2 linked regions of the Nothobranchius furzeri genome follow. The protein of the gene in region 1 interacts with the protein of each later gene in a biochemical or structural test. Links are inferred from orthologs where the notes say so. Each region holds a gene or a part of one and is shown on either strand. Other genes may lie near its edges. The genes, in order: cebpb and cebpg.

Region 1 (15,822 bases):
GGCTGAGCAGGGATTTGAACCTACAACCTGAGACAACATTCTGACACAAAAACTCCAACAGTGCCAGTTCTTTCTAACTGAATTTAGTGAATGACCACAATCCAAAAGAGCATGCTGGTAAATGGATGCTCCTGAGGAAGTTTATTTGGTCACAGTGAAATTTATTTGATCTGATATTTAACTTTCTGACACAAGGAGCATCTGCACAATCTAAAGTCTAGTACTTTAACTCAAGCTTTATAACTGATAATTAACATAACAGACTAAAAAGCTCTATGCAGACTGGATGGACCTTCTTAGAGATTAGGACTGCGCTCCAAAGCCTCTCCGACACCGTTGTTGCTCTAGAAATTAAGCTTGTGTTTGTTGTGTAAGGATGGTCTGCTGTTACCCAAGATCTGGGCAGTGATATTTGCTGTGTACTGACCACAAGCTACTTCTGCACATCAGTTTTGTCTTTTTCACAGTCATGTACAGCAAAAAAAGCAGAAGTGAACCAAGATGTTGAAATCCTGGTTCACTTCAAGACAGATCATGTTCTAGTTCACTTACCGTATCTCAGGCCTCCCGGGTTCCCGTCACAAGCCCGACTTGGATATCCGGCACGCCTTTAACTTAACGCAGATCTGAAATGATAAAAAAACGAAATCTCTGTGTTCACAGCATCCAAACATACTGTAGGTCCGGACAGCTCTACTCTGATTTAAATGTGGCTAAAAAAGACAAATTTTGCTACATTCAGTCATTAAACCTGCATGAGAAGCTATAAGGATACTTTAGTCGTGCACCTGACAAAAATCTTTGTTTGTCAGTAACGTCTTAAATTTAAAAAAATTTGAGGTTTAAACTAAACCCCAGAGACGTTAAGAATTCAGAGGTAAATATGTAAACATGTGCACTCAAACACAAAACTGAGAAAATTCAGAACATCCTGAAAAATGCTGATGAGTATCTCATTTTCAGGGTCAAACAGCAAAGGATGACCTGGCTGATAGTGTTTAGTTATTCTAAGGCAGGGGTGTCAAACATGCGGCCCGTGGGCCGGATCCGGCTCGCAAGCAGGTTAAATCCGGCCCGCGAGATGGTTGTGTAAACTTTATTTTCATACTTTACAATGTAGAGTGAAAATAAACTTATCTTTGTGAGCAAGTTCTCTCTGTAACGAGTATAAATAAAACAAAGCTGCGCTCAAGGCTCACACAAGAACTTGAATCACATCCTGAAGTTGGCCGCCACTCAGGATGTGACTCCTGATATTGATGTGCTGGTGAAAGCTAAAAGATGTAAAGTAAAATGAGTCAAATATACTTTAAGTGCTGCATGAAACTCATCTAGCCATGTGATCTGTAAGCTCTTTGAATCACTAAGGAATGTTTTTTTTTTATTCTATTATTTATTTCAAATTTTCAAGTACACTTCAGGTGTTGTTCTTGTACTATTTTGGATACACTGTCCTCAGACTCCAGCCTTGTTTTATATTGATTGTATTAAAACAAAGAAAACAATCTGAAGTTTTTTTTTATTTACCGGTCCAGCCCACTTGTGACTAGATTTCCCTCAATGTGGCCCCTGAGCTAAAATGAGTTTGACACCCCTGTTCTAAGGGCTGTGGAAATCCCTGTTTATCATTTAGAACATATAAAAACATCTGTGAAAAGTCATAACAGGAAGTTCCTTTACATGTCTATACATTTCCCAAATCTACAAATCAATTAGCATGTATTTTTTAATTGTAAATAATGAAATTGTTCAGAATACTGGCAAACATAAAAAATAAAGGTTTCCTGTTTCTACTGCACAAACATTTCAGTTTTAAAGGATTTTATTCATCTTGGAAAGCAAAGCCCACTTTAATATGACACAGAACACATGTTAGAAAAAGTTTTCTAAACAGGAAGTGATGATCACACATTTCAGTTAGTAAAATTAAACACAATTAGGACATTTTTTAGCAACATGTCAAAATAGATCTTATCAAGAGGAACCAAAAACCTAAATGACCGCCAGTTTTGAAAACTAGAATTGCGCTGATGACCCAACGGCAGAGAGAGCAGATACAGTCATAAGAGTTAAAGCTTCCTGGACACCTTTAAGTGTTTCTTAAGGACAAAATTTGTTTTAGTTTTCTTTGTCAAAATCTATCTGAGGAAAGGACATTTCAGTAAAAAGTCACTGATTTATAATCACACAAACATCCAAACAGCTGAAAGTTGTGTTTAGATTTCTATGTCAACAAAGACCAGCTCCACCATACAAAGCATGACATGACGTGTGTGTGTGTGTGTGTGTGTGTGTGTGATGTTACAGGACCCGTCTGCTTTAGGGTTTTACTGGAAATTGCTCTGTGAAAATGAAACTGTACATTTCAGCTCTTTTTTGTAACAGTTTTGTGGAAAACAAACCAAATGGATGAAGGTGATGTTATCCTGCAGGAAACCACCTCAGATGCTATTTTATTACCTTTGCATTCCAAAAAGGTTCCTACTTTATGGTTATTCCAGCAAAACTACCATTAAATTCTGCAGTTAATAAACGATCCCATGTTAATATTCCTGTAAAGCTTTACAAAACAAAAGGAAACCTTTGAGATACAATGATAGAAACAAACCTTGATCTAAACCAGAGGGAGCACTTTCTGCTGGCAGCATTTAAAGAAACTAAAACACAAACTTCTGTTATTGTTTTGAGCTTTGATTCAGTTTGAAACCGAACAAACCCGGTCAGTCTACTCCAGGAAAAATGAATCTAGCTGGACAAAGTCTAAAACACAGAATCGTTAGTTTGTGAATCAACAGTTAATATGAGCACCAAGAAAAACAACAGTAAACACTGGAAATCCTGCAAGGGTCTGAAATCCAGAGAGAAGAGGGAGAGACTTAAAGTGATCTTGTTTGTGCAGGAAAGGTGCTCCACAGATTAGGATGATCCTGCTGTTGATAGGAAGCATCACGCTCCAGTCCCATCTCTTAAACCCACACCGCCCTCCACACCACGAACAGTCACTATTCATTCATGTTAATCGTGTTTCATCGATCATACATGTTCTTGACCGTCAAACCCAGAAAGCTTCAGGTTTAATGATGTAACTTTATATTTAAGAATAATGGAGGAGTCTGTAATTAAGTGTTGCCTAATGATGCCTTCATTAATTTAATTAGTTATGAAAACAGCGGCTGAGAGTTATGTGGACATCGTGTTTCTAAATCACTGCAACAATAGAAGTAAAGTGTTTGAAGAACAAATTAGTATGAGTCACATGTGGAAAACTTTATTTCACAACTAAAGAGGACAATAGGATGGCAGGTGGAGTGTGTGTGTGTGCGTGCGTGCATGCGTGTGTGTGTGTGTGTGTGTGTGTGTGTGTGTGTGTGTGTGTGTGTGTGTGTGTGTGTGTGTGTGTGTGTGTGTGTGTGTGTGATGCAATACGTTTTACAGACAGGCACTACCCTTTGACGGTAAAACACGGAAAGAGGGCCGGGCTAAACTCTGAAGACGGGAGGTCATCCTGTGTGGGAATTTCCCTCTTTCCTGTCAGCATGGGATCTGGAAGTGGAGTAGGAGTGCTTGTGGCTGGATTAGGCCGTCGAAGAAGGAATGTCCATGTTTGAATGAATCTGTGCCAGGGACTGACAGCATCCAGAAATGGGAAATCTTATGTGAAACTTGACTTTTATTCTGAGATTGCTTGGATTTCACAATCTATTCCTGAACACCTACTGGCACACACTCCTCACACTTATTGTCTTCCAGACCGAGGACAATGATGTCTGTTTCTAAAGTGGGTGTAGCATTCTTCTGGTAGTGATGTGTTTGGAAAGGGAGGATGTTGCACAACAGCTAGAACTCTCCAGTTCATCACTAGCTGTGTTGAAACGTTTAAAATGTCATTTCTTGTGCACAAACAGCACAACTCTGTGTTCACGCCCCATTAAAGGAACACAATGCGACTCCTCGTTGTGCCATCTGAGGACAAATGTGAAACTTTTCAGCTGGAAGACATTCCCCACAACAAATCACAACATGCTCCTTGTGTTTATCTGCTCTTTCTGAGGTTAGCTAGCTTAGATATGATTCAGGCTGCACACGCAGGCAAATGCAGTCTGAGTAGTTGGTAAATTCCACAGTTCAGCTTATCTGCAGCCTCTGCTGTAACCCACAGTCTAGTGTGGACAGGTGAAATGTCGTGCTGCACGTTTCCCACGTGAGGGTTATCCGAGGTTTGCTCAGGTTTCAGACACATCACCGCCCGCCAGGTCTCGGCTGTTCCAGTGTGAGCAGGTTAGTTGTTCATTAATTTCCAGACGACCTTGAACCCCTTTCTGGGCCGGTGGACCCAGCAGACTATTGACAGAACTGTGTGCTAAAGATAAAGCTACCATTTCTGTGCTGCGTGCAGAGTGACCAAGACCTTTCTGCTGCTCTCAGCAGTATCGTTTCAGTATAAATCTGTCACATTTATTTAAGGATCTGTGTACTTTTGGAGTCAAGCCCTCAATTACAACAACCAAACATGATATTAAGCATATAGTGCAACTATAAAAACTGATTTTGATTAATCATTTTGAAACAAAGTCTTTGCCTATTTTATTTTATGATTAAGTGTGTGAGTTGATCAGGCAACTTTAATGCACAATCTCAATAAAAAATTTTTTTAATGAGTGATGTTTTGTGTGGGCCCATGTGACTATTTTCTAAATTAGCTGTTCCAAAGAGAAAAATCTCATGGTGCTTTGTTTGATTTCACCATAGCCTGACATTTAAATGTGCACATTCTGCTTATCATCGAGGTGATTTCTTATCTGCAGTGTGTCGTAACCCCAAAACATGGTATTACACAGTCTATGATGACGGTGAACGATGCACGATCCATGGTGAAAGGGACAAAAAAAGAAGAAAAGGGAAGTGAAATAGTTTAAACAAAGTATAAATCTCTTTAATTCAATAAAATATCAAGAACAATTAAAGCATTTCACCTTTTAATATTAAATAATTAGACTATTTCATTCATTGCCAATACTATTACAAAGAGTTGCATCATTTCACTGCAGCACAACTCTTCCCCTGACAGCCATTGCTGCAGATACAGTGTACACAAAATGTAGAAATTCACTGGTAATGTAAAACCTGCACAGAAATACTGCATACACTAAAATTACATCTGAGAATAAAGCTATGAGGACAAGTGAAAAGTCGCGTAATGGTTGCGCAATCCATGCAGCCACTTGTTCAGTCTCATTCAAAGTGTCCATGTAAACTGGCGGTCTGTTTACAGAGTACCGTTTTCAGCACAGTGGGTCGCCTCTTGCGCCGTTAAGTCTGTCAGGCAAGCAGCGCGGGGATCCGGGGGGAGATCCGTGCGGTATCCCCGGGGGATGGAGGTGGGGAGTTCTAACATTGTCCGGTGGCGGAGAGCAGGTTGCGCAGGGTGGCCAGCTCTCTGGACAGCTGCTCCACGCGTTTCTGTAGACGATCGTTCTCCGCAGCCAGTTCCAGCACTTTGTGTTGCGTCTCCAAGTTGCGCATCTTGGCTTTGTCCCTGCTCTTCCTCACTGCCAGGTTGTTCCTCTCCCTCCTCAGCCGGTACTCTTCACTGTCCTTGTCCAGGCGCTTCTTCGCCTTCCCGCCAGACGACTTTCCACCGTGCGACGGTGACCTGCTTTTACCTGACGGGGCAGGTGTGCCAGGCGGGCTGGAGCAGGTCGAGGACGCAGTGGAGATGTTTCCAATACTTCCGCTGGTGGATTGGTAATGAAGGTAGGACCTCATGTCAAACCCAGATGACCCGTTCTCCATCTTTGCGTCTTCCGGACTGTCTTCTCTCTCGGTGGAAGCGGCGGCTCGGTAACGGCTGGCCACCAGATCCGGGCTGAGAACGCTGTCCACACGGGTCTCCTGCAGCTCGGGGTAACCCAGCGCGTACGGATCCCTGGGCTCCCTCGCACCCTCGCACTGGCTCGCCTCCAGCTCGCTCAGCAGCGAGTAATTCTTATAGTTCTGGAAAGCTGCGAGTCTTTTGATCTTGTTCTCCCCGAGGAAATCAGAGAAGGCGTCCCCCTGCTGCTGCGTGTGCGCCGCCAGCTGCGGGCAGTGCAAAGCGGAGTCCAGGTAAACGCTGAAGTCTATGGCTCTCTCCCGCTCCCCCAGACCCAGCTCCGTCATCGAGTCGCCCAGCCTCCAGTAAGAGCCTCCGCCTATGGGTCCGATGAAGCCGTCTCTACCGTGGATAGCAAAGCTGCCCTCCTCGTACAAGCCGGCCACTTCCATGGATCTCAACACCCGCTGGAGTGCAGGAGCACGTCGGGCTGAGGTGGGACGCCCTGGCTGGTTCTGGTTTTCCTGCCTCAGTTGTGAAATGCGTCGGAATGCAGAGAGTTTAAACCTCCTCGGTCACTACCCGTAGAAACACGCAGCTCCTACTACGCGGGAGCTCTTGGATTGGGAGGAATTGACAGATCTTCCTGTCTCAGGAGGGGTTTTATTAGGGGTGGGGGCGGGGCTTAACTTGGCAGGTGTGTCACGCAGAGCAGAACCGACCTGTACCGTGCGGAGAAGATTCTTTCCCGTCCGCATGCTATTTAAAGTATTTTGTCACGATGAAACAAACAAACAAACAAACAAAACAAAACAACAACAATAAAACACCGAACAACAAAATAAAACTTGCTTTAGTTTTTATGTACGTGCGCACCAGATGAAGGCTATAATAAAATTCTAGCAGCAGAACAAAAAGGAGAAAAGCAGCTTTGGCTGATGAATGGGAGCTGATATCAGAAGTCAAATAAAAAGTAAAAAATAAAATTCCAGTTTACACCGTCATGCAAGCGCGCCCCCTGCTGCACGCGTCTGGAAAAAAACCCAACGTGTTTATCTTTTTAAAGTTTATAGTAACAACATCACTGATGTTCAAAGCAGCCACAGACTCATTTCATTTAGAAATCTGGTGCCCCACAACTTCCAGCATATATACGTGCCAATTAAAGTGCAGTGGACCTCCTCATGATGCATGTCTAAATCTGTACAAAGGCCAGGGTGGGCGTCAGAGGAAGCCAGTCTGTCTGGTTTAAGGCGAAAGACTTATATGTGCCCTAGAAGATGTCTGTGATTGCTTTGTGGGTCTTGAAAAATCTGCTGCCTCGACAAAAAATGAGATCTGACACAAGCTCTCCTCAAGTCCTTAATTCTGGCTGCAGTAGAAGCTAGAATCTGATAAACTTGATAAAACTCAACGAAAGACTTTTGTTTACAAAATCACCAATGCAACAATTACTAAGTATTAACATTTTAAATATGTGTAAAAATCCAGATATGTAAATCTATATATAAGTTCACTGCTCAACAATAATAAAAGGAACACTTAAACAACACGATGTAACTCCAGTGACAGTGACTGAGAAGCAGTTTCACTGCTGTTGTGCAAACAGAAAAGACAACAGGTGGAATTTATAGGCAAACAAAAAACGAATGGTTCTGCAGGTGGTGACCACAGACTACTTCTCAGTTCCTCTGCTTTCTGGATGATGGATGATGTTTTGGTCACTTTTGAATGCTTTCACTCTAGTAGTAGCATGAGATGGAGTCTGCAACCCACACAAGTGTCTCAGGTAGTGCAGCTCATCCAGGATGGTACAACAATGCGAGCTGTGGCAAGAAAGTTTACTGAGTCTGTCAGCGTAGTGTCCAGAGCATGGAGGTGGCTCCAGGGAGGGCAACAACCCAGCAGCAGGACCACTACCTCCACCTTTGTGTAAGGAGGAACAGGAGAAGCACTGCCAGAGCCCTGCAGAATGACCTCTGGTCAGAAACAGACTCCATGAGAGCGGTACAAAGGCCCAACATCCACAGGCAGGGGTTGTACTTACAGCCCAACACCGTGCAGGATGTTTGACATCAGAGAACACTAAGATTGGCATATTTACAACTGGCGCCCTGTGCCCTTCACATATGAAAGCAGGTTCCCACTGAGCACATGTGACAGACAGGACCGTGTCTGGAGATGCCGTGGAGGACGTTCTGCTGCCTGCAGCATCCTCCAGCATGAACGGTTTTGTAGTGGGTCAGTAATGATGTGGGGTGGCATTTCTTTGTGGGACCACACAGCCCTCCATGTGCTCGCCAGAGGCAGCCTAACTGCCATTGAGTACTAAGATGAGATCCTCAGAGCCCCTGTGAGGCAATATGCTGGTGCAGTTGGCCCTGGGTAATGCAAGACAATGCTAGACCTCATGTGGCTGGAGTGTGTCAGCAGTTCCTGCAAGACAAAGGCACAAGATGCTATATGGACTGGCCCGCCCGTTCCAAGGGCCTGAATTCAGTTGAGCACATCTGGGACATCATGTCTCGCTCCATTAACCAACTCCATTTCGGACCACAGACTGTTCAGGACTGTGCGGATGCTTTAGTCCAGGTCTGGGAGGAGATCCCATCTGCCACCTCATCAGGAGCATGCCCAGGTGTTGTAGGGAGGTCATACAGGCTCATTTTGGCTTGTTTTAAGGACATTACATCAAAGTTGGATCAGCCTGTTATGTGTTTTTCAACTTTAATTTTGAGTGTGACTCCAAATCCAGACTTCCATTTGATTTCCATTGATAATTTTAGTGTGATTTTGTTGTCCGCACATATAACGATGTAAAGAACAAAGTACGAAATTTTAATTAATTCAGCTCAAGGATTATTCTTGCGTACTCTTAATTTTTTGAGCAGTGTGCAAAACATAAACGTACACATTTTAAATTGGGAAAACCATTTAGTTATGAAAATATAATATTTTATTATAGGTGGTGATGACAACGTTCATTCATTAATTTTCTGAACCGCACTGCCACCTTGTGGAGTCATGTTTAATAATCTTAAAGCAGGGTGTACAAATATTTTGACAAGGCTTCAGTGTGGAGAAGAGGAGATGAATTCTTGGAGGTTGGTCTCCAGCAGTTACAACTGGTCTATAAACAATGTAAAGGTTTTCACAGAAGTTCCTCTAAATACTCCATAACCTTTTCTATTTCCTCACATTTCAGTTTAAACTGTTAATGATTATGAGGCTTTTTACAGTAGAAATGAGCCTGAATGTAATAAAACATCTGACGGAATTACCCTGACATGTAGAATTAGTGGTAATGTAAACATTATGATGCAGTGTTAGCATGAACTGCTGCAAAGTCAATACGATTAGAACTGTTTTGTGATCTCCTTGGTCAGAACTAACCTTTATTTCTCCAAGTGGAGAGATAGAGATTATATTGATTTTTTATAAATATTATTATTATAACTATTTATTGCTTATAGGACACATAATATTCCACACAGAGGGAACATCTGTGTTTTACACAATTCTTTATCTTTATTTGGAAATATAATAGTGTCTGTTTTTTTCATCTATCTGTGTGAAGCACCCTCACTGACCAGAGGAGCTTCAGTCAGCCACACTCAGACACACTGACCACTTTATTAGGTACACACTGTCAGTACCAGGTTGGACTCCATTTCACTTCAGAATTTTAATTCTTCACGTAAGCAACTCAGCAAGGTTTTGGAAGCATACATCAGAAGTTCTGGTCTGTAACCAAACAGATTTAACATCTAACAGATGTTTCCATCTGAGATATGGTGACATGGTGCATGGTCCTGCTGGAAGTAGCCACCAGAAGATGGGTCCATGTGGTCATAAAGGAATGGACATGGTGAGCAACAGTACTCAGGTAGGCTGTGGTGTTTAAATCAGCCTCAGGTGGGGCCAGAACATCTCCTCCTACCACCACTATACCACCAGCAGTAACAATCCGAACATTTAATTCAAGGCAGGATGGATCCATGCTTTCATGTTGGTGACACCAAATTCTGACCCAACCATCTGAATGTAGCTGAAACCCAGACTCATCAGACCAGGAAAGGTTTTCCAGTCTCTTCTGGACCAGTTCTGGTGATGTTGTGTGAATTGTAGCATCAGTTTTTGGTTCTTATCTAACAGGCGAGACACCTGTTGTGGTCTTCTGCTGATGGAGTCCATCTGGAGCAGATGTTGTGGTTCTTATTCTCCATTCTGATGCTCAGTTTGACCTTCAGCAAATCGTCTCTTTCACATCTAGATGTATGAATGCACTGAGTTGCAGCCATGTTACTGGGACTTGTGTTAACATGTTATTAAACATCTGTACCTAATAAAGAGGCACTGTGTCGTGACAAAACAATCCCAGCTTGCAATACCAAAATGTCTGGCAAATAATTCCATAGAATTTGATTACCTTTTTTAGAAATTATCAAATGATGGTAATGTCCGTTCATCCATTCATTTTCATGCGCGTATCCGGGGTCGGGTCACAGGGGCAGCAGTATAAGCAGAGAGGCCCAGACTTCCCTCTTCCCAGCCACGTGGGCCAGCTCCTCTGGGGTGAATCCTAAGGCGTTCCCTGACCAGCCGAGAGACATAGTCCGACCAGCATGTCCTGGGTCTTCCTTTAAATCTCATCCCGGTTGGACGTGCTCAGAAATCCTCACCAGGGAGGCATCCATGAGGCTTCCTAACCAGATGCCCAAGCCACCTCAACTTGCTCCTCTTGATGTGGAGGAGCAGTGGATCTACTCCGAGCCCCTACCGCATGACCAAGCCCAAGAAGAACCCAACCACCACACGGAGAAAATTCATTTCAGTTGCTCATATCTGTGATCTCGTTCTTTCGGTCTCTACCCAAAGCTCGTGACCATAGGTGAGAGTTGGAACGTAGATTGACCAGTGAATCGAGAGCTTTGCCTTCCGGCTCAGCTCTCTCTTCACAACGACAGATCGGTACAACACTCGCATCACTGCAGATGCAGCACCAATCCGCCTATCGATCTCGTGCTCCATCTTTCCCTCACTCGTGAACAAGACCCCAAGATACTTAGACTCCACCACTTAAGGCAGGACCTCATCCCTGACCCGGAGAAAGCATTCTACCCTTTTCCAACTTAAGATGGTCTCGGATTCAGAGGAGCTAAATAATGTTTGCTTTTTTTTATCTGCGACATTCCTGTCAGCTGCACCAACCCCTGTTGGACATTGGTATCAGGTAGGACAGGGGTGGGCAATTATTTTTTCCATGGGGCCACATGAGAAATAGAAAATATTGTGGAGGGCCGCAGGCCAAAAGGCTGAAGTCAATTATGCATAATATTAATGGTATTTCTTTATAAAAAGCAGTAAATACCATTGTTTCTTCAAGCTGGTAGACTATATGTTATAAATGAGCAAAAAGGAAAAAGTGAGGTTGGCTTACAAAAATGTGATTTATTCAAATTTCCCAAGGCAATGGTAAACAAAGTGTGCACATTTGGTTTTTGTTAAACATTTGTGACTTATATTAGTTAACAGTTTCAGTCACATTCACTCCAAAACACATTCTGAGTTTCAAATATTGTTGGAAAGAGGTTCTTAGCATTCTACAGACACACAGTATTGTCTGTAAAATAAAATCACTGAACTGTGATCTTGAGAAAGAGGTTTAAAAAAAGTGTCCCAGTTCACTGCTAGTTGCCTACATTTGTGGTCCAAACACCTTATTTTGTGTTTTTAAGCAATTTTTTTCTTATTCAGTGAGAGAAATCTAGTCTCTGCTGGGCTTTAACGAGTGCATCAAAGTCAGGTTGGATGTCTGAGGTGGAGAAGCGAAGCACAGCTGACAAATGATCATCAGTGAGAGAGGATCTTTACCTGGATTTTGTAAACTTCATCATTGAAAATGTTTGTTCACAAATGTAGGTAGAGCTGAAGAGAACCAACATCTTCTGAGCATGTCTCTTCAGGTTTGGAAAATCCTCCTTAAGCCGGGCGTACACTGTGCGACTTTTTCACTCGCAGCGTTCAGCTTCAGCTCAAACTGTACGACTTCCTCGCAGAGCAGATCTCACGAGTCGTGTGCTCACACTGTACGACCCAGTTCTCGCATGCGACCTGACTGCTCACACTGTACGTCTGGTAGCAACACGTCGGCCCCAAAATGTGCTAAAAATAGCAGTTTTTACACAACACGTCAGACTTTTTTGTCTTGCCTGTTGTCCTTCGGGAGTGCTGCAGGAGGACACACAGGGATTTATGGGGGTTGGATGAGGAAAACGAAATAAAGAAAGTGAATCTGTGTTTTATGATCAGTTTAATTTGACATGAACACGACAAACACGCTTTCTTGACAATCTTTGTGAGTAAAAAAAACGTGTAGAAACAAAAACGAACAGCGTGTGTTATTAGGGAAATAGCGAGCGACCGGCCGGCGTTGATGCAGGATTGCGCGCGCATGCGCCGTGAGCGGTTCTGATACTTTTTGGATCGTAGCTGCTCGCAGCTGCTCGCAGCGCCGCTTCAACAGTGCGATACCCTCACGAGGGACGAGCGAAATATTAAACACACCAGAAGTCCCTGCGACCTCACGACTGCTGATCGGCGGCTGGTCACGTGGTGTTAATCGCCTCTCGTAACCCCCTGTACACTACACGACCGCTCGGCGCAAAACTCGCCCCGATGTCGTGGCTTCTCGCACGACTGGAAAATCGGCTCAAAAAAGTGAAAAAGTCGCACAGTGTACGCCCGGCTGTGACAGTCTCTCCCATTTCAATCCCAGAGTGTCCATGCACGCATTTACCTCTGTAAAAAGATCACTCCCTGTCGTTGTCCCTCTCATCGACCGCATTGCTGCCCGCTCCTCTGTGAGCTTGAAGTCCGTTATCCCCCGGACAAATACGAGCAGCTGGGCTGTGTCCCGGACATCACAGCTCCCGTCTAATGAGAAAAAGTCAAAACTTGCCACTTCACGTTGCAGCTGAAGCTCCAGGTTCCCCGCAATGTCCTCGATCCTCCTGGTCACGGTTCGCTGTTTTTAGCTATTTTGTGGGATATCACAAAGCTGGTCCTGGTTGCTGCATCCCTGGATGTGTGAAGCTTAGTAAAAAAGCCTTGCTGCTTTTGCAACTTTGCTAGCAAAGCTTCGGATGTCCGTGCCCTCTCAGCATCAGACAAGTTCTTGTATTTTTCCGAGTGTTTCTTGTCGTAATGCCGACTCAAATTGTAGTCCTTAAACACGGCAATCTCCTCCCCGCAAACCAAACACACGGTTTTACCTCCGACTTCAGTAAAAAAAATACTTAGCAGTCCAATTTTTGTTGAAAATCCTGCATTCGGCATCTTTCTTTTTTTTTTTTTTTTTTTTTTTTTTTTTGCATGAGCGGACATTTCTCAGGCTACAATCACCATGTCAACCGCGGGCACTTGTTGCTATACGTATTGCGTCATTGTGCACGTAAAATACAACTTCAAAATAAAAGCAATGCAGCCTTAGCCCATGCATGAGGTAAAATGAGAAAATACATTTATTTTGTAATTTCCAATTAACCTTACGCGGGCCGGTCAAAGTCAACCAAAGGGCCGGATGTGGCCCGCGGGCCGTAAAATGCCCAGGTCTGAGGTAGGAGGATATTTTAACCAGCAATCAGAATGTGGTCAGACATGTTTTCTAATTCTTCAGCACTGTGAAGAGACACGTCACCAGAGCTTATTTTCCATGACACGCACTGGTATGTTGACTCACGTTTGAGTTTTACTACCAACCACTTTAACACAATTAAAACAAATGTATAAATCCAAACCAGGCTGTCACACATATGCCCACTGTCAAGGCAGCAAAATCCTAAAGGTTAAAAATAGTAAAAAAAAAAAATGAAGGAGCTGCCATGACACCTTACATAAAACACAATCTACAGCTGCTTCACTGTAACTGAGACTTGGCAGAGGTGAGGATGCATTAGTTTCTCTCACTCCTCCTTCTCTGGGAGGTTAGCTGGTGGCTGGTGTCAAACCCAACAGGTAACAGGTAAGAGGTGGGTAGGACACGTCGACATATACATATATGGACAATGGGTTTCCATAGGCTCCAACAACACGTTTTTGAAGAAAAATGGGAGGTGGTCATCACCGCCATTGTGACCGTGTCACAGGTTCCGTCAAGCCCAGACAATTCCACAAAAGGGAAGAGAGGTGGAGCTGAGGGTGGGGCTGTAAGGCTGGGATCAACTGACGACACCCGGTCGAACTAGCTACAAGCTAACCTGAAGCTAACCCAAAGCTAACGTGGAAGTGGGAGCTAAGCTAACGGAGGTAGCAACCTAGCTACAACCGGCGTTAACTGTGCACAACACCAGAGCTTCTGAGTCAGAGATACGCCGGGCTGACCGCTGGGTAAAACCGGGTGGAACACAGAGGTCTCCCGAAAGCTGCTGAAAGCCGGCAGCCCGCGCAGCAGACAGAAGCTGCGATCAGACAGAGATGCGCCGAGCTGCGGGGTGGGGCGAACCAGGTGGAAAACATCTGTCTCCCGAGAGTTCCACAAGCCGATAGTCGGAACCCAGCTCCACCAACATATTATATTTCAAACCATTTTCTAAAGTGCAGCATTATGTTAAATGCACTGGGTTTTACCCTATTACATTTAAATTTCATGGTTAAACAGTACATGTGAAAATCTAAGCTCGGCAGTGACCTAAAATACATAAATATAATTTTACTTACCGAAAAAAATGAAGTGGAGACTCCTTGGACGTTCTATTAGTGCAATTAATGCCACCGCAAGTCATTTTGTCCAAAAATTGCACAAATTATATCCAAAAAAGAACGCACAAACGCTACAACTAATGGTCCAGGTTGAAAGACTGAAAATGACTGAACAGTTTTCAGGCGAGGCCGAGGCTCAGACTGAGGCCTTTCCCCGGAGCTAGCTCTGTGGTCACGTGGGTCTGATGCTCGTTAATTATACAGAATTTTAGGCTTTTAATACACTTAAATAAAAGAGTGAGAAAAAAATTCACCCCCCTCAGAGTTGTCATGAGTGTAAACTAGATAATTTAAACCAAAAACATGTTTATTTCTGCTGTGAAATTGGCATTAACATGGGAGTCAATGAGGATTTGCTCCCTTCTGACACCAGCCCCCAGCGGATGAGGGTGGAACTGCAATTTATTCCACTTCCGCATTATGGGGGCTTGGTAGGACATCAGTAATTTCTCTCTCTCAAGGACGTAATTTTCACTTTAGAAGTGGGGGGGACACGGGGGGGGGGGGGGGGGGGGTTATCTTTACAGTATGTTCTAATGGGAAACAGGCTTCAACACAAACGGTTGTTTTCCGCTTGGTCCTAGAGCTCAACCAGTGTCAATTTAATATAGCGTAATATTGTTTTTGGATGGTAAAAAGTGCAGGGGTCAAAACTTGACTTTGGAAAAAGTGGGGGGGGACATGTCCCCCCTGCCCCCCCCCAAAATTACGTCCATGCTCTCTCTGTGGACACTTTGTTGTTGCTGTTTGGTAACGTTTGCACATATTAAATGTAAAGACTTCCCTTTTTAAAGGTGTGTTCCAGAAACATTTGATAGTTTGGATAAGCACGTTTTAGTAAAGCACCATGGTGCTTTACCTGACTAAGACCAGTCTGTACACCTTTAGCCTACTTAAGGAGCTGTTTCAGTTTGAGTCTTTTCCATTTTTAACTTGTGAAATCCTGTTTAAACAACAACAGAGTTATTTGTTGTAAAAAAATAAAAAATAAAAATAGAACAGCTGCATCTTCATGACTCAGCTGTCCTCACAGACCTTTATATAAATCCTGTTAAGATCTTCAGTTATCACACCCAGAAACACAAGAGCTTTGATTTGGTTTCCTTGACAGATCAGTTATCCTTTGGACTGGCACACACATGCAGGAGTTGTTGTGAATCACTGGGATCTTTGGATTTTCACAAGGTTAAAGAAAAGAGTTGCTTTATAAACACTTAGCATGCTATGTGAGTCATTTGAGTTGTAATTTA
Region 2 (17,037 bases), on another chromosome or scaffold:
CATAAAAAACTCTCAAAAAACAGCGAGGAAGAACAAAGAACGGTTCGACAGAAACATTCGCGAGTCCACACTAGGTGTGGGAGATCGTGTTTTAGTCCGAAATCTTCGCTTAAGAGAAAAGCATAAATTAGCAGACAAATGGGAGCAAACAGTGTATATAGTTCTCAAACAGATGGAAAACTTGCCAGTATACACTGTAAAACCAGAGAACGGAGAAGGACCCAACAGAACACTCCACAGAGATCTTTTACTGCCTTGTGGTTTTCTCTCTTCATTAGAAAATGAAACAGAACGCGTTACGAAACCTAGCAGACCTCATACAAGACAGAGTTCAGCCTTAGAACCTGACCCAGATGAGCCACTTGACGAAGAGGTAGATGAGTTTTATCACTCTGATCTTCCACAAGTGCTAAACCGACCATCCTATCAAATAGCGGTCACCTTGCCAAATAGGGAACTCATAGCAGATTCAGGACCGGTAAATAATATTCAACAACAAAACACACTATCCTTACACACAGGGGATCGCAAGGAACCAACCTTAGCTGGTAATGAAAATGCTGAATTGTCCTTACTTGACAAAGGCATCAACACCGAAACATTCTTACCTGACAGAATGAGTGAAACTGCGACATTCTTACCTGAAAGAGTGAAAGGAGCAGCAACATACTTACCTGAAAAAACGAAAAAAAACGAAGTATACTTACCTGACGTAGAAACGGGGGATGAAACTAACACAAACCTACCTCAATTGGATGGTGTCCTAAAGTCGCAGCAACGTGATGTAAGTTTTGAACCCATCATACACGATCAGACACATACATCTGAAAAGACCAAAGTCTTAGAGAATAGCTCATCAGCTCTGTCGGAAACAGAGAGCTCACTTCGTCCTGTCTCAGTTGAGAATCAAACCGAAACGGATGAGCATGATACTGTGCAACCAGAGATGTATGTCAGGAGATCTGAACGAAGTAGTCAGCCTCCTCAAAGACTAACTTACTCTCAATTGGGCAATCCACTAGTGACCGTAGTTAGGTCCCTTTTCCAAGGACTTAATAAAGCTTTTATTGACTCTCTTACTCAAGAAGTTGTGTACCCCGTAGAAACAATGCACAGGGACGTGCATGATATTTAATGGGGGAGGATGTAACCCAGAAGCTAGAACCTTAATGAGGTATTAACTAATTGGCTTACTAATATGATCCATCCTCAATTTAGATAAAATATAAAATATAAATTAAGGAAATTAACAATACTAATTAATAGATATCTAATTAACTAATAGATAATTTCATAATGAATTATTGGAAGGGTGAATAACTAAAATAACGAGTTTAATATTAAACATCGGTTAAAACAAGAATCTTGAACATCCCTAACAGAAACAGAAGAGGAAAGCTGTATACTATTGGTCCAGGTGGGAATCTGAAATTTCATTGGCTGAGAGAAATAAGTCCCGCCTCCGCGAAATAAAACCGTGCGACGCAGCTGAGCGAGAGGAGAGACAAACGGCTGTGCAGCACGCAGATACAGAAAGCAAAGACTGAGCGGTTAGAGAGAGAGAGAGAGAGAAAAAAAAACAATGGTCGAGGCCGTGAAGAACCCTGATTTGGGTGCCGCATAGATAGAGGGAGAGGCGGACTTGACTCCTTCTAATAAGAGCTAGGAACTTGGAACCAACGCGGTGAGTAAAGAAAAAAGAAGAGAAAAAGCTAACGATGCAACTTAAAAAAAAAAAGGAAACTTAAATAGCTTATCAAATTAATTCCATTCTTATAGATTTGTGTGGAGACGACAGAGTGAACCAATCCTCTGTAGGAGGGAACCGTTGGAGCGCGTTGGTGAGTGAATGAGATTAAATTCAGTAAATTATTAAATTCAAAAAGCTAATTACAGCAACCGAGGTGACAGCAGTGGGCTGCTAGACGTTAGATCCCAGGAGTTAACATCTCAAACTACCAGTTAACGGTGGTAGGGCATATAGGAGTTAACGGCTCAAACCGCCAGTTAACGGCGGTAGGGCATATGGGATTCCCAGGAGTTAACGGCTCAAACCGCCAGTTAATGGTGGTACGGCCTAGATGTACAAGGTCCTCAGGGGCGTTATAGCTAACGCCATAGAATTAGCAATGCGTCCCTTAACCAAACATTTAATAATAAAAAAAATAGATAAATAAAAATAAATAAAAGCTAACTGATTAGGGAGGAATTATTTTACAAAGGTGGACCAAAGGACCAGAATTTATATTTTGTTGAATTTTGTTATAGAACATTTTATTTATTTATTTATTTATTTATTTATTTATTTATTTATTTATTGTGTTACAGATATACAAGGTGTCACAATGCTGTATAGAAACACAATTAAATGTATCCTTGTTGTCATGAATGTATTTCTTGTTGAATAGTGTAGAGTAATAGAATCTAACTGAGCCTATTGAGCTGAACAATTGTTGTCATATGTAATTATATTTCCAGAGCTACTGAGAATTATTTTAATAGACAATCAAATTGATGTTATGTTAGTTGAACTGTGAACCCAAACATGATTGGCTATGCCAATAGAGTGAAGCATTTGTTTAAGTCTGTAAGACTTTATGCTGTGATGTGACGAGAAGGGTCGATGCCAACTCGCTAACAGTCCTGTTGTTTACAGGCTGGTTTTTTTTTTTCCTTGGGTTTGATCCCGACTCCTATGATCACTCACTTGGAACGAGAACTGGATTTCTTCCTGACGAGGGAGATGGCGAGCCTTAACCACTGAACGAACCAGGACATCTCAAGTAACTGAAGAGCAGACTGCTCTCTTCTGTGAACAATCTCAACGGTGCGGTAGGAAAAAATCGCACCACCGGACTCTGACTTTCACCCCAAGCGTGGGGATTTGACTTGACGCCGGCTGACTTGTGACTCATATGATCAAATCTCATACCGACCATTTTACTATTGTCGATTGTTTTCATCTGTTTTTATGTGTTATCTTTATGTGTTATATCTCCCATTATTATTAAAATTTAGTATATAAACCGTTTCATGCTATACCCGTGACTCCAGTCATTCTTAAACAACCTCCAATTCTCCCCGAACCTAATTATTGGCCCATTTGTTTATTTTTTCTTTTAATTATCTTATTGTATCCTGTAATCCGGTTACATAAAACCTCAAAAGCAGCTTAGAAAAGAGAATCTTTGCCTTGTGTTAAATTATTTCATTGTCTGAAAGAAGAAGCAGTTGAGTGATCATGCAATCGGGCAAACGCCTTTGTTATAGTCAGTGCTTCGTTTTGAAGTCAAGATTACTTCTAGGATCACGGTTCTGCCATCAGAGCTCTTGGTGCTTAGCTGGTTTCCCTTGACATCTGCTCGTTCATCGTCCTTTGGTCCTGAGACAGATGTGGTTCTGGTTGGATTTCCTGTCTAATGATGTGAAGTCTGTTTGGGTCCTCCAAATCCAACAGAGACAGACGACACAGAAACACAATCGACACATGAGCACATCTATTCCTATCCAGGTCAGATCTTTCAGAACCCTACACACACACGGCTGGGCTGAGGGGCCCACGTTAGGGGAACAGACAGACCACAACCGCTCAAAAACACAAGAAAAATCATAAAACAAAGCTTGAGAATGATATTAAGGAGAAAGATGGGAAATAATTTGTGTGCACATGCAGAAGAAGTGTGTGTAGGGTAAAAAACAGTGAATGTAGGCGTGAGATCTGGGGAGTTTTACCCTGGGTTGTCTTCTGAAATAAACTAGTGATGGACTCTGGGTAGGAGTGACCTAAAGGGGTACACGCCAGATGGACCTAAAGCCACTGGACTCAGAACTTTTGTCTTTCGGGTTTGTGAGGATGGCCTGAGCTGGACCGGGTCTACTTTGGGGAGGACGTGGACCGCATCCATCTACAGTATCTCCTCTGCGTGACACAACATTCCCAGCGCTGTAGCTCACATGGAGCTGCGCCGAGCTGAGCGTTTATCTTGTTTATGAGTTGTGAAAGATGTCATAAATCAGCAGCTCCTAGTGACGTTATCAGCCTCAGAGATGGAGAAGACGTTCTGCTGCTTCGCTCCGATCTCCTAACTCATCCTGACAGCCAGAACCCCGGGCTGTCAATCACTCTGACCCTGATTGCTAACAGATATCTGGAGGCTTGACAGCTTCTCTCTGAACTGAACGTCTTCACCTTCAGCCTCCTCCTCTGACTCTGGGGGTTTCTTCACCAGCTGAAGCTGCGGGCCCATCAGCTTCAGTTCACTCAGATTCCAACAGCAGCAACTTGAAGGGGACAACCACTGGTTTCAGTTTCCTCTGGTGGTCAGAGAAGCGTCCATCTGCAGGAGGAACCAGCTTCTGTTCTGTGGACGCCGGTGATTTATTTGTGCCTGGCTCTGGCGAAATACGAGATAGACATAGAAATCTCCCTGAGGATTTCTAACTAGACTGTCTCCAGCTTTATCTGTGGTCGCCATGGTAACGCTAAAGCTTTTTTATCTGGTTTGTGTTTCTAAATCCTTTCTGGAATTCAAGGAACAGTTTCTAAACAGAACCATCAGATCAAACTCATGACCTCTGACCTAAAGCTAGTAAAATCGGAGCTCTTTGGTTTTCTCTGACCTTTGACCTCTGGGTGGACCTGCTGATTGGCAGCTGTCTGTTTTTCACCAGCGACCATTTCTCTCTGTAAAACGGTTGACCTCTAACCCTAACATCTTTTCTGTACGGTGACTGGATGTTGTTTACAAAAAAAATCATTAGACTGCTGACTGTAAACAAGTCGGTAACCATGACAACTGCACCTCTTGTCAGATAGTGCCAGTTCTCAGATGTTGGGCTGGTTTTCTGCAGAGATGGATCTGAGGCCTCCAAGGAGCAGCGCTACAGATGTGTGCGATCGAGAGAATAAAGAGGAAACAAGCGTAGAACATGTTTTCCAGATGTTTCTGTGTGAAGAACGGCGCCAGATTCTCAGAGGAGGTGAAGTTTAAACAAATGTAACTTGGCGATTGAAGACGAGGCTATCAGTCATTTTTATGTTTGAACGTTTAACTGTTTTCATGTTTTCCCATTTGCTGAAAAAGAGCAGATTGTGGGAAAAAGGGTTTATTTCTAATGTTGCAGCGTGCATCAGAACCAGAACCACAAGAGAACTCGAGAGCTCCACAGCAGCTCCAGGATCAGCTCTTCTCAATGTGAAGCAGGTGTTCATAATGTTATGGCAGACTGATGGAGCACAGATAAAAGCTGCACGGGCATTCAGTACACACACACACACACATGCTGACCTGATGGTAGCGGTGTGTGCGGTGTCCGTTTCTGTCATGGTGAGTCGATCCACTCATCAGGTGACTTTTATGATCAGCTGACTCAACGTGACCTTTGAACTACAGAAAACCCCTGTGTGTTTAGTGATGTCAGATGATGTCACTGTGTCAATCACCTGCTGTTTATTAGGAACACAGATCAGCTAGGGACACTTTGAGGTTCACACACACACACACACACACACACACACACACACACACACACACACAGGAAGAACTAGTCAGCAGAACTTTTACTCGAGTTTAATTTACACATAAAGACACCCCACCCCTAAACACACATGCTGTTTCAGGAATAAAATTGTTTAAAAAAACATATAAAATTGAAAAAGATTCTGTTTGCGCCGCTTGACCCGAGGATCTGGACCCAAAGCAGACAGGTTCGAGTTCTCACACTGAAGCTTGTATCGGGACTCTGCAGGGATCCTGATGTGGGTGTGGAGTCAAGAGCTAATCCAAGAAAAGGTCCTGATCCAGATCGGGTTCTGTTCAGATCTAATGGACCGCATGTAGCTCCCGTCTCTCATGGATCATGCATGTCTTACAGACTTAATTTGGGTAAAAGAGCAGAAAACACCAACTTCACATTTAGAGGTTGAGTGAAGGTCCTTTGTTGATTATGATTCAGAGTGGACTAGGAGCTGTGTGTGTGTGTGTGTGTGTGTGTGTGTGTGTGTGTGTGTGTGTGTGTGTGTGTGTGTGTGTGTGTGTGTGTGTGTGTGTGTGTGTGTGTGTGTGTGTGTGTGTGTGCGTGTGCGTGCGCGTGCGTGCGTGCGTGCGAGATCAGAGCACCTGAGCGACAAGAGCCAGCTGATCATTATTTTCAGTTTCTGATATGAAACCGTCAAATTTAGAAGATTTTCTAAAACCAAAGCTGAAGTTTTATGATGTAATCACCTGGAATCGGATCTACGGGAGTATTTTTTTTTCTGAACAGAACCCAGATGACTGTTCAGGACTGTTATTAGAAACAAGTGAAACCAACATGAACAGAACCACTTTGACACCAGAACCTTTCAGAACCACATCAAACTGTCTTGTGTTGAGAAAAGTGAACAGGAAGCAGTGGAGTTTGGCTGGAGGCTTCGAGTCACCACACCTGTGGGCAGGTAAGGCTCCTGACACGCAAACACACCACGCCTGTTCAAAGCTCAGCTAATTATAAAGTCTGCTGGTGGCTCGCTGTGGCTCCACCCTCTCCTGAAGTTGGGTGGGGCCGCCGTGGGGACCTGTCGCGATCTGTTCGGCTCTCGTTAGCAGACGGCTAATGACTCAGCCCGGCTTAAAACTGGATTTAGCATAAAGCTGCAGCTCAGCGGGGAGGGGGGGCTGAGGTGTCTGGGTCCGCCCAGCACTCCAAACACAAACACACCTGTCTGGACGGGGTGTTCTGACAGGTGGAAACGTTTTAGTTTCAACACAAATCACTCTGGATCAACTTCCTGTTTACAGGTAAACAAACACTCCACCAGACGGCAACATCAGAACTTTCACTGTTTTTGAGCTCAGACAAAATTCCATTGGTCGCATCCATGCTGAGTGGTTCTGACCCAACCCATCAGACGGTTCGGTGGCTGGAAACAGGTTTTCTCTGGACCTTTGCGGCTTTAATCAGAAACCAGACGCTTTTCAACCGGATCTGCGCCGCTGATGGAAACAAAACCAGGATGAGGAGAAAAGTTTCTGATCCAGATTATGGCTGGTTCCCTGAGGAGCTCTGAACCTCATAGTTGTTCTCTTCTGATCCTGTTTGTGACTCGGGTGGTTGAGGTTTCCACCTCAGCGAAAAGAACCCCCACCACCCCTACCCCCCCTGCCTGGGTCTACCAGAACCTTCCAGGTCTTTAGTCAAGTTTTGATGTTTAAAATATCAACATCTTCATGAATCCAGTTAAAACCAAAAAATTAGATCAAACACCAACAGAAGGAGGAAATGCTACCTTCCAATGATCAGAGTCCACACCTGTGTCTCTGTCCAATAAACAGTCAGACAAGTTTCTGAGGAAGTCTCTAAAAGTTGAGGGTGGGTGGGTGGACACGGTGAACAACAACAGATTCATACAAAGAAATGCGAAGTGAAGAAGACGAGAGGAGAGGCTCGTTTCCAGATAACCTGCAGGTGTTAACAACCTAGTGGATCCACACCTCACTGCCCATTGGTGGGGGTGCTGTTGGGGGCGGGGCTAGAGCCCTCAGTGCTGACAGGTGGCTGAACATTGTCAGCTAGGTTGTGTGCATGCTCCAGGAAGAGGTCTTTGAGCACACTAAGCTCTTTGCTGAGCAGTTTGATTTTGGCCTCCAGCCGCTCGTTTTCCTCCTTCAGCTCGTTGACGCGCTGCTGCGTGTCCATAGCCTTCTGCTTGCTGCGCATGCGGCTCTTCTTCACCGCCAGGTTGTTGCGCTCGCGCCGCTGGCGGTACTCATCACTGTCCTTGTCCACAGTGGGTTTCTTCATCTTGCTTGGGGGAAGGGCTTTGCCTCCAGCAGAGGAAGGGTTGGCTGGGATGAGCTGAGGGACCTGCTGCAGTCCGGCAACGGCCGCCGGCAGGGACGAGGAGGCGTGAGCCTGGCTCTGGATGACACTCACGCTGTTGTGGTCGGCTGTGGTGAGTTTCGGCTGCGACGGCCTGCTCATTTGGATGTGGTGCCTTCAGGTGCTGATCTCTGACCAGAGTCTCCTCAGGTGTAGAGATGAGATGGGGACAGGAAGGAGAGAAGGAGATCCAACTGGATTGAGCCTGAAGGAGGAGATGGACACATGTTGAATGAAACCATTCAAACAGACAACACCTCAGCCGCGTAGACATGTTAGCAGAACACAGCTTCCTGTCAGGGGGAGTTTCACCTTTAGCTGGCCAACAACAACATGGATGCAGTAATCCACTATTAATTAGCCTCTGAGCTACACATCCACACTTTGGATCTCAGTAACACCACCATCACTAAGAAGCTCCACCTGAACACAATACCTTGACCCAAATGTCCCCCTGCAGCGAGTCTCAAACATGTCCATCAGCGAGAAATCACCCAGCAGCCCGGGTTGTTAGAGGTCCCGTGACTACCTTACTCGCCAGGCTTCACACCTGCATTTGGTCACAGTTTTGTTCTCCCATCAACATTAAATCTATTCACATTTGTGTAAATCATGTCCTGAAATCACATCTTCATTGCTTTCAAACATTAACCTGTGAAAACACCTGAGCCCCGCCCACCTGTTGGAACTGAATGTGTTCCTGTTGTTTCTCCTTCCACTACCTGCCATCATGTGTCACGTGATCACACCTCTTGCTTGATATCTTGGGTCATGTGATTTTTGTGCAGCCTCGGCTAGCACCGACACTGATTGGTCGGTGCGTTGCTATGCAGCCACTCAGCTGTGCGCAGGGTAAAGCGCTCCGGGTGAAACAGCAGAGCTGTTACCCGCTGTTGCATCATCAGCAGCGGGGAACCCCGGAGTCATGCGGGGCTCAGCACAAACCTCACCTTTCACAGGACCGAAGTGAGTTTAAATAAACTGTAAAAACATCCAAACGGATCTCAGACCCAAAAATGTCACTTTATAAGGCTTTTGTTGTTATTTCCTTCCACTTAGTCAACTCGATTCCCTCCAACCCACCAGCTGACGCCAACCACTCGCTTAACTGTCGCCTTTTGTTGTGAATACGAGCCCCGCTGTAAGCAAAGTGTGTCTCTAAAAACGAGCGGAGACTGAATTTCACGTTCCTCAAAGCGACTTAGCCCTTTAGCCAGCTAGCTGATTAGCTTCTAATGCTAACGAGTCCTGTCCTGGATATTTGTCGTCTCTGATCGGAGCCATGAAACGCTGAAACGGGATTTACCTTAAAAGAGCGGCGGTGGAGTCAAGCATCCATAAAAACACAGAGAACGGGATTTAAAATCCGACTTAGATTCCGTCTGAGTGAAGCTGAAGTGTTTTTGTTTGGAACATGGAGAGCAGCCGATTGCGAAATCTACTTTACCATGTATGGGCAACGTCGAAGACCAGCCAATTACAGGTGAGTAGGCGGCAGCGAATAGAGGTGAAGGCCAATGAGAGCTCAGTATTCAGAAGAGTGATGCAATGCTTTGAATGCCTGACAGGCAGCTAAACCAATAGCGCGTGGTCTTCTTGTTAGTTTGTTTGTGTAATCAGAGGTTGTGGGATGAGTACAAACATGTCTGACTATCTGGAAATCAGTCCTGGAAAGGTCCTGATTTAAATATGTCTGATCATCCACGTGCCCCTTCTTTGACTGTCACCTACAGGTAACAGGTGAGCTGTTGCCTCAGACAGGAAGAGTATCCAGGTCCCTCGGGAGTAGAGAGGAGGCTTAATAAGGAGAGAGAATATTTCAGGAGCAGAGAGGAGCTTTCAGGAAGTAGATGTTTTAGAGAGGAGGTTTCAGGAAGTTGGAAGTTTCAAGAGGAGAAAGCAGATATCAGGAGGAGGGAGGGGGATTCAGGAAGGTGGACGTTTCAGGAGGAGAAAGCAGGTTTCAGATAGGAGGAGGTTTTAGGAGGAGAAAAGAGGTTTCAGGAGCAGAGATCAAGTTTCAGGGGTAAGAGGAGGCTTCAGGATGAGAGAGGAGAAGATCCAAGACTTTTTATTGTCATTGCGCAGGTGCACAACAAAAATGACTTTGCGCTCACTAAAGACAGCTCACGTGAGGAGGTGGTAGACTATAAGTAAAATAAAATAAGGCTAAAGTAGAAGTCATGCACAGTCTCTCTCTCTCTCTCACACACACACACACACACACACACACACACACACACACACACACACACACACACACACACACACACACACACACACAGCCAGTTTAGGTGCAAAAACATGCAGATATGGTAATGAGGCAAGTCTAAAACTAAGCGAAATGTAATGTAAACATAAGCAAACATAATGTAAACAGTCACATGTTGTCAAGGTGCTGTAACTGTGCAGCAGATACCTGTTAGTGTGACCGCCTAGCAGCAACATCAGTTCAGTGATGGCTCCATAAGCTGTTTTTTGGTTTAACAGCCTGGTGGTGTGTGTTTTTATTGCCCTGTATTGTTTGCCAGACAGAAGTTTGAAGAGATGGTTAGCAGGGCAGGGTGAGTCCTTTAGGATGTTTTCTGAAGGCAGCGAGTGGTGAAGATGTCATCCAGGGCAGGCAGGTGTGCGTTTGTTATTTTCTCTGCTGTTTAGATTACTTTCTGCAGGGCCTTACTGTCAGCATGCAGAGCTGCTGCTGCACCACACCAGAATGCTGTTGGTCAGCACCAATCTCTCCATGAACCTCAGATCAGGTTTCAGGAGGAGAGAAGAGAGAGGAGGCTTCAGAAAGGTGGAGGCCTCAGAAGGAGAGATGAGGTTTCAGGGCGAGAGAGGATGTGTAATAATGAGAGAGGTGGATTCAGCAAGGTGGAGGCGTCAAAAGGAGAGATCAGGCTGAAGGGGGAGAGAGGATGCTTCAGGAGCAGAGAGGAGGTTTCAGGGGGAGATATGCAGCTCTAGGATGAGAAGAGGCTTCATGAGAGTGGCAGTTATATCTTGAAACCTCCTCTGGACTCTCTACAGCTTCTATTTGCTGCAACTTTTGACTTCATCTTAATCAACAATCAAAAAAGAACCAGTTGCTTAAGGGTCACAGCTGGAGATGTGAAGCTGAATGATGCTGGAACTGGACCAGTTCTGGTTTCACCAGCTCTTTATGCCTGTACAAAAACAAACAACCATGATCAGATTGGATCTTCTCAGGTTTTAGGTACTTAAAAGATTTCATATGGTTTTTTATTGGACCATGTTCCTGGATTAACCAGACCCAGAGATTCTGTCTCAGTGGGGGATTCCTCACATCTCAATACATCTCCTGAGGAGTGCGTCAGATGTTCACGTTCAGGTTCAGATAAAGCTATAGGACCAGTTCAGATTCTGCAGAGCCTAAAGATTGATCCCAGGAACCCATATCACAAATGTTCAGAGATAGTTCTGATGGGTTCTGTGGTTCTATGATTGTGATGTGTTTATAGTAAGACAAGTCTTTATATGTGTCTCGGATGTCAGTGAGACAGAGACACATGTCCTCTCAGGGAGACAATCAGATGGGGACTATGTGGTTAAAATATCACTCTTTATTTACAACGAAATAATAGACTTATTACAACTATTTGGGCTAATTTCTAATTTTACATGTTGTACTAAAATGATACTCATTAAAACAAACACACTATCTTTATGACGAGGAAATGGCATTTTAACCGACCCTTATTTATGCTAACAGGAGTTATGCTAATGTAGCCAACAGCGTTACCATGGAGACCACCAGCTATGCTAGCAGAACAGAGCTAACAGCATCTCTGTCATGAACACAGGATCCAGCGGTTGTTTTTGAAGGAGAAAAGGTCCTTCAAAGGTCTCCAAGATGGTGCGAGATGTTCTGGATCTCTGCTCGGTTCTATACGGTCTGAAACGAACCAGAACCAACATCAGACCAGACGGTGTCTGTCTGCGTCCGACAGAGGGCGCTGCATCCCGCATTTTACACGCACACACACACGCGCGCGCGCGCGCGCGCGTGTGTGTGTGTGTTTGTGTGTGTGTGAACGCGCGCACATACACAGAGGTATGGCAGGCATTTACTTACGCGCATAAAAACATGCGTGCGCACACACAGGACTCTTTTGTGAAACAAACAAAAGTTTTATTCTAATTTAATTCTGGTTAATTTACCTTTTTTTAAGTAAACGAAACATCAGTCAAGCGTTTTGGTTCCGATGGGGTGGTGCAGTTCGGGAGACGATCCGCATCAGGTGATCAGAACCTTTAGTCTAGGAGCGAGACCCAAACTCCTTAAACAACACTTGGGATCATGATCGGTTCCGAGAACCTGCAGGGTTCTGTTGTCCCACCCGGGTCCCGGAGGGGTTCGAGTCAGACAGACTGAAGGAGTGTGGTGTTGTCCCCGCCCACCCATTCCAACTATAAAACCGCTGTTTGACAGCTCGGAGGTTACTGAGGACCAGGAATCGGACCGGCAGCTTCTCTTCGTTCCAACACAAAGTGTCAGTCAGTCCTAAAGACTCTGGTTCCGGTCGGCTCCTGTCCGCAGCGGTCCGACTCACCTGAGTGTGTGACTTTCCAAACTGGATTTCCGGAGCTCCTCGCCATGCCCGCCCGGCTTTAGGTTCTCCATGGAGCTCTCGAACCTGTACGAGGTCGCGCCCCGGCCCCTGCTGAGCAGTCTGCCCCACGGCCAGCAGCCCCCCTCCGGCTATAGAGACCCGTCTGACCTCGGGGGGGAGATCGGAGACAACGAGACCTCCATAGACCTGAGCGCCTACATCGATCCGTCTGCCTTCAACGACGACTTCCTGGCGGACCTGTTCCACCACAACTCGCGACAGGACAAAGTCAAGATGATGAATGGAGAGTATGACTGCGGTCCGGGTCCACAGCAGCTCTACATGCCTAACTACATGGAGTCCAAGCTGGAGCCGTTCTACGAGCACAACCCGCCGCGCCTCCGACCGGTGGCCATAAAGCAGGAGCCCCGGGATGACGAGGACCTGAACCCGGGCATGCCCCCTTCCTACCACCACCCGCACGCGCATCCTCAGCAGTACCAGCAGCAGCAGCAGCCGCAGATGCCGCACCTGCAGTACCAGATTGCGCACTGCGCGCAGACCACCATGCACCTCCAGCCGGGCCACCCGACGCCTCCACCGACTCCAGTGCCGAGCCCGCACCATCACCACACGCACCAGCACCTGCAGCAGGGCGGCATGAAGCTGCTCGAGCAGCGGGGAGGCGGGAAATCTAAGAAACACGTGGATAAGAGCAGTCCGGAGTACCGGCTGAGGCGCGAGCGCAACAACGTGGCTGTGCGTAAGTCTCGGGACAAGGCCAAGATGCGGAACCTGGAGACCCAGCAGAAGGTGGTGGAGCTGACGACCGACAACGAGCGGCTCAGGCGGAGGGTGGAGCACCTGACCCGGGAGCTGGACACGTTACGGGGCATTTTCAGACAGCTGCCGGACGGGTCGTTCAAACCCATGGGCAGCTGAGAGATCTGAATCGGACTGGACCGGAGAGTGCTGGATTTGTTTAGAGACAGAAGCAGCTGAGTTCTCAAAACAGCTGCACATATGCAGAACTTTTGGGTCAAGGAGCAGAAAACTTAACAGACCCGGTTCGGTTCCGGATGATTTTAATCTTCAGAGCAGCAGAACGGAACTCTTCCATCAACAAACTGAACCCGTTGGAGACTTTTAACTTGTTTGTTTGTTTATTTGTTTGTCGTGTTCTCGTGCCTTTAACGTTTGTGCAAAAGCCGATAAGCTGAATCAGATGTTCAGTGCCTTAAACAGACTGAGTCCAGAACCACTCAGAACATTTCAGTGCAGCTACGATGAGGTTAGTGCGGGACCAGCCTGCGTGCACGACGCCTTCATTACAGAATTTTATTTAATCACAAACGATCTCATGTACGGAACCAAACCGGACCGAAACCTGTTTCTGAGCTGTTTGCTTGGCTGAACTGTGTTTTGCAGGTGATTGGCTGTTGACACCACGTGGTATCAAACTCACCTTCACACTTGCCAGAGATAAACTGTCTGGGGAGTTTGGGTCAGAGCCAGAACCCATGTTTAATAAAACTAGTTCTGAATGACCCTAGCAAAGCCAGGCTGAGGGTTGTTCGGTACTGAAACCGTTACAAACAGAACCGCCAAAGCCCTGCAAGCCCAACCCTGACCCTGTTCAGACTGAAGCTCTCATGCACTAAAGCCAGATACATTGTGGGACATGGGGAGGCAGTGATGGTACTGATCATGGGGAGGGGGTGTACTGATACAGGTTCTGGACAGAACCCAACAGAACTACGCCCCTCTAAACATGTTTTATTGTGATCAGAACAGCTAAATGTGAACCAGGTTTCAGCATCACTCTTCATCTTCCTGCTTGTTGCAGTCATCTTCACTCAGTGCCTTTTGATCGCTCAGATGACCTTTGACCTTTGTCCGATCCCTCAGATGGTTCTCTGACTTGTTCCAGGGAGGAAGAAAGAAGCACTTTGTTGTTTATTTCTGTAATATAAACATAAAATATAAATGAAAAACCAAAATCTGAAGTAATAAAGAAACTTGTTTTATCAAATTTGGTTCTGGTGTTCTTCTGAGAGTGTTCGGCTCTATGTGCACACACACACACACACACACACACACACACACACACACACACACACACACACACACACACACACACACACACACACACACACACACACACACTAAGTCAAAGATATTCATTTTTACTCTAAAACCAGCTGCTTAATGAGGCGTCAGACAGCTGATCTACTGGTTCCAGCTTCTGTTTCCTGTGTATTTAAATGATTATTATTCCCTCAGTTTGTGCTTTAAGGTTCTGTTTGTGTCATGACTCTGCTGCAGGCGACCTGCCATCATGTCGTAAAATCGGAACTCCCTCAGATGTTCCGAAGGAACTTCAATAATCCCTCAGGAAGGTTCCTCTGGAAAATTCAGCTTCCAGCAGCGGCACACAGAAAAGTTTCAACAACAAGACGAACAAAGGAGCCAACAAAAAACCTCAAATGAATAAAAAACAAATGAAAAAAATTACACGAAACACATCAGTGGTATCAGATACATCGCGCATTCAGTAACATTGATGGCCCGGTTGGGTTCTGCTGTCAGCCCCCCAGTGAGTGTGTGGGACGAAGCTGTTCTTGAGCTGTTGGTTCTGGACTTGGGGAGAAGCAGCCAGCAGGAGTCAGAGCAGATCAACGGTGATCCAGATCTGATCCTGAGGATTTTAGAAAGTCTGATCTTCTCTCCCGAGGAACTTCATCAGCGATGGAGCTTTTCTGTTTTCCAGCAGCTCATCCGGGCCTTTCTGTCTCACATTTTTATGAGACTAAAAAAACAGGTAGCTTAAGCTGCACCCAGAAACAGATCGGAAGCTTTAAAGGTGTTCTACTTTTATTAGAACTGGAAACTGTTCACTGAACCTCCAGATGAATCTTTACTGGAGCCCACAATGACCCAGGAGCCCTGCTAAACGGTCAAACACAACCCCATAACAAAACCCTACAATGGAAAGACTGGTTTGTCCCGCCCCCTCGGCCAGGGCATGAATCTTATTGGCTACTGCTGTTGCCAGAGTATCACCGATGATGGTGGAATCGCTTCCATCTGTTTGTCAGTAAGAAGGTAAAAACAAGCTCTATACTGCTCTGTGTATGGGAACAGAAGAACAGAAAAAACGGAATCAGAAAATCAGCACAGACTGAACGTAACCAAGACGTTCAAACAGCTGCATGCTGATTGGCCGGTTTACCCTGAGAGCTCTTTAACTGTCTGAAGGTAGAAACTCTACAGCCTTATAGAGTATGGAGAACTCAACAGGAAAGTTATGAATCTATCTGGCATTCATTTAAATGATAAATGATCCGCACTTGTACAGCGCCTCTCAGAGTAAGGACTCCAAAGCAGGGGCGGCGTTAGGCCCGGCTACTTGGGCTGAAGCCCCGAATCTTTAATGAAAAGCCCTGGATCTCAAACGTGGAAGTAACATGCAGTACCAAAGTCCAACAGAGAGAGAGCAGCTAGCAGTAGTTTGTACACAGCCTGCCTGAGCCTCCACCACTGAAGAAGAAGCCCTTAAGCAGCCGGCTTCTTCTGCAGTGCCTGTTTTTTCTACTCTCTGCCTGAAACGCATGAGTGAAGATGGACATAAGGACGTTTTTTAGACCAAAAGTACAACGACAGAACCCCAGCTTTGATGAGACTGGTGCTGATTCAGGTTTGTGAGTCTTATTTGAAAATATTTGTTGTGCTGCTGTTTGCCTAAAGTTAGATTATCAGGTAAAGTTGTTGGAGAAAGAAAGGGAATATTTACTATCATCTCACACTAAACACTAACAGGAACAATACTCTGCCCTGAATATGCTGAATATGTAGCTTCAGATTAAAAATTATGTGGTTCAAGACAAATATGTATGTTGAGTGCGTGTCACGTGTGTGTGTGCACGTGTGTGTGTGTGCGTGTGTGTGTTAAGCCCCGGATCTTCTTCAGTCCTTAATCCGCCCCTGCTCCAAAGCGCTTTACACTACAGTGTATCATTCACCCATTCACACACACATTCACACACTGATGGTGATGAGCTACGATGTAGCCACAGCTGCCCTGGGGCGCTCTGACAGAGGCGAGGCTGCCGAGCACAGGCGCCACCAGTCCCTCCGATCACCACCAGCAGGCAAGGTGGGTTAAGTGTCTTGCCCAATGACACAACAGCAGAATTCTCTGTCCAGAGCCAGGATCAAACCTGCAACCTTCCGATTACTGGACAACCCGCTCTACCTGTTGAGCTACTGCTGCCCATTTAAGTCTGGATATTCCCAGTAGGAAATATCCTGGAAAGGTAAATGTGGGCTCCGACACTCTTCTTTGTCGTCCAACAAGGACGTTAGCAGCAGCTCGGCCTAGCGTTGATCACGATTTAGAACTTTTAACACAGCGGAGCCGGTCTGCCGGTGGAAACCGGACTCACCTGGTCAGCCCAGTCTGGAGATTTGTGCTAGATCATGAAGGAACACCTAAAGCGTGAAGCTGAAACGTGATCTGGTCAGGATCCGTAAACGCTAAGATCCTCCTCAGGAGTGAATTCTGTGAGAACATCTTCAGATGTTCTGTTGTCGGCATACAATC

What was found.
Region 2: the proteins of cebpb (region 1) and cebpg form a complex in vitro, tested with the Homo sapiens proteins (2 studies listed by BioGRID and IntAct, with this or other methods). The link is inferred for Nothobranchius furzeri from reciprocal best matches to the Homo sapiens genes CEBPB and CEBPG.

Annotation. Positions count from the first base shown.
Region 1 is NC_091755.1:52,064,974-52,080,795, forward strand, and holds cebpb (CCAAT/enhancer-binding protein beta), read right to left. Parts: upstream 6,429-15,822; 5' UTR 6,265-6,428; coding exon 5,389-6,264; 3' UTR 5,157-5,388; downstream 1-5,156. UniProt on the Homo sapiens protein: Important transcription factor regulating the expression of genes involved in immune and inflammatory responses. Also plays a significant role in adipogenesis, as well as in the gluconeogenic pathway, liver regeneration, and hematopoiesis.
Region 2 is NC_091749.1:66,128,304-66,145,340, forward strand, and holds cebpg (CCAAT/enhancer-binding protein gamma), read right to left. Parts: upstream 10,995-17,037; 5' UTR 10,280-10,994; intron 9,505-10,279; exon of another isoform or gene 9,167-9,504; intron 9,132-9,166; exon of another isoform or gene 8,540-9,131; intron 8,066-8,539; 5' UTR 7,963-8,065; coding exon 7,474-7,962; 3' UTR 5,556-7,473; downstream 1-5,555. Other genes in the region: cebpa (CCAAT/enhancer-binding protein alpha), read left to right, coding at 12,504-13,376. UniProt on the Homo sapiens protein: Transcription factor that binds to the promoter and the enhancer regions of target genes. Binds to the enhancer element PRE-I (positive regulatory element-I) of the IL-4 gene. Binds to the promoter and the enhancer of the immunoglobulin heavy chain.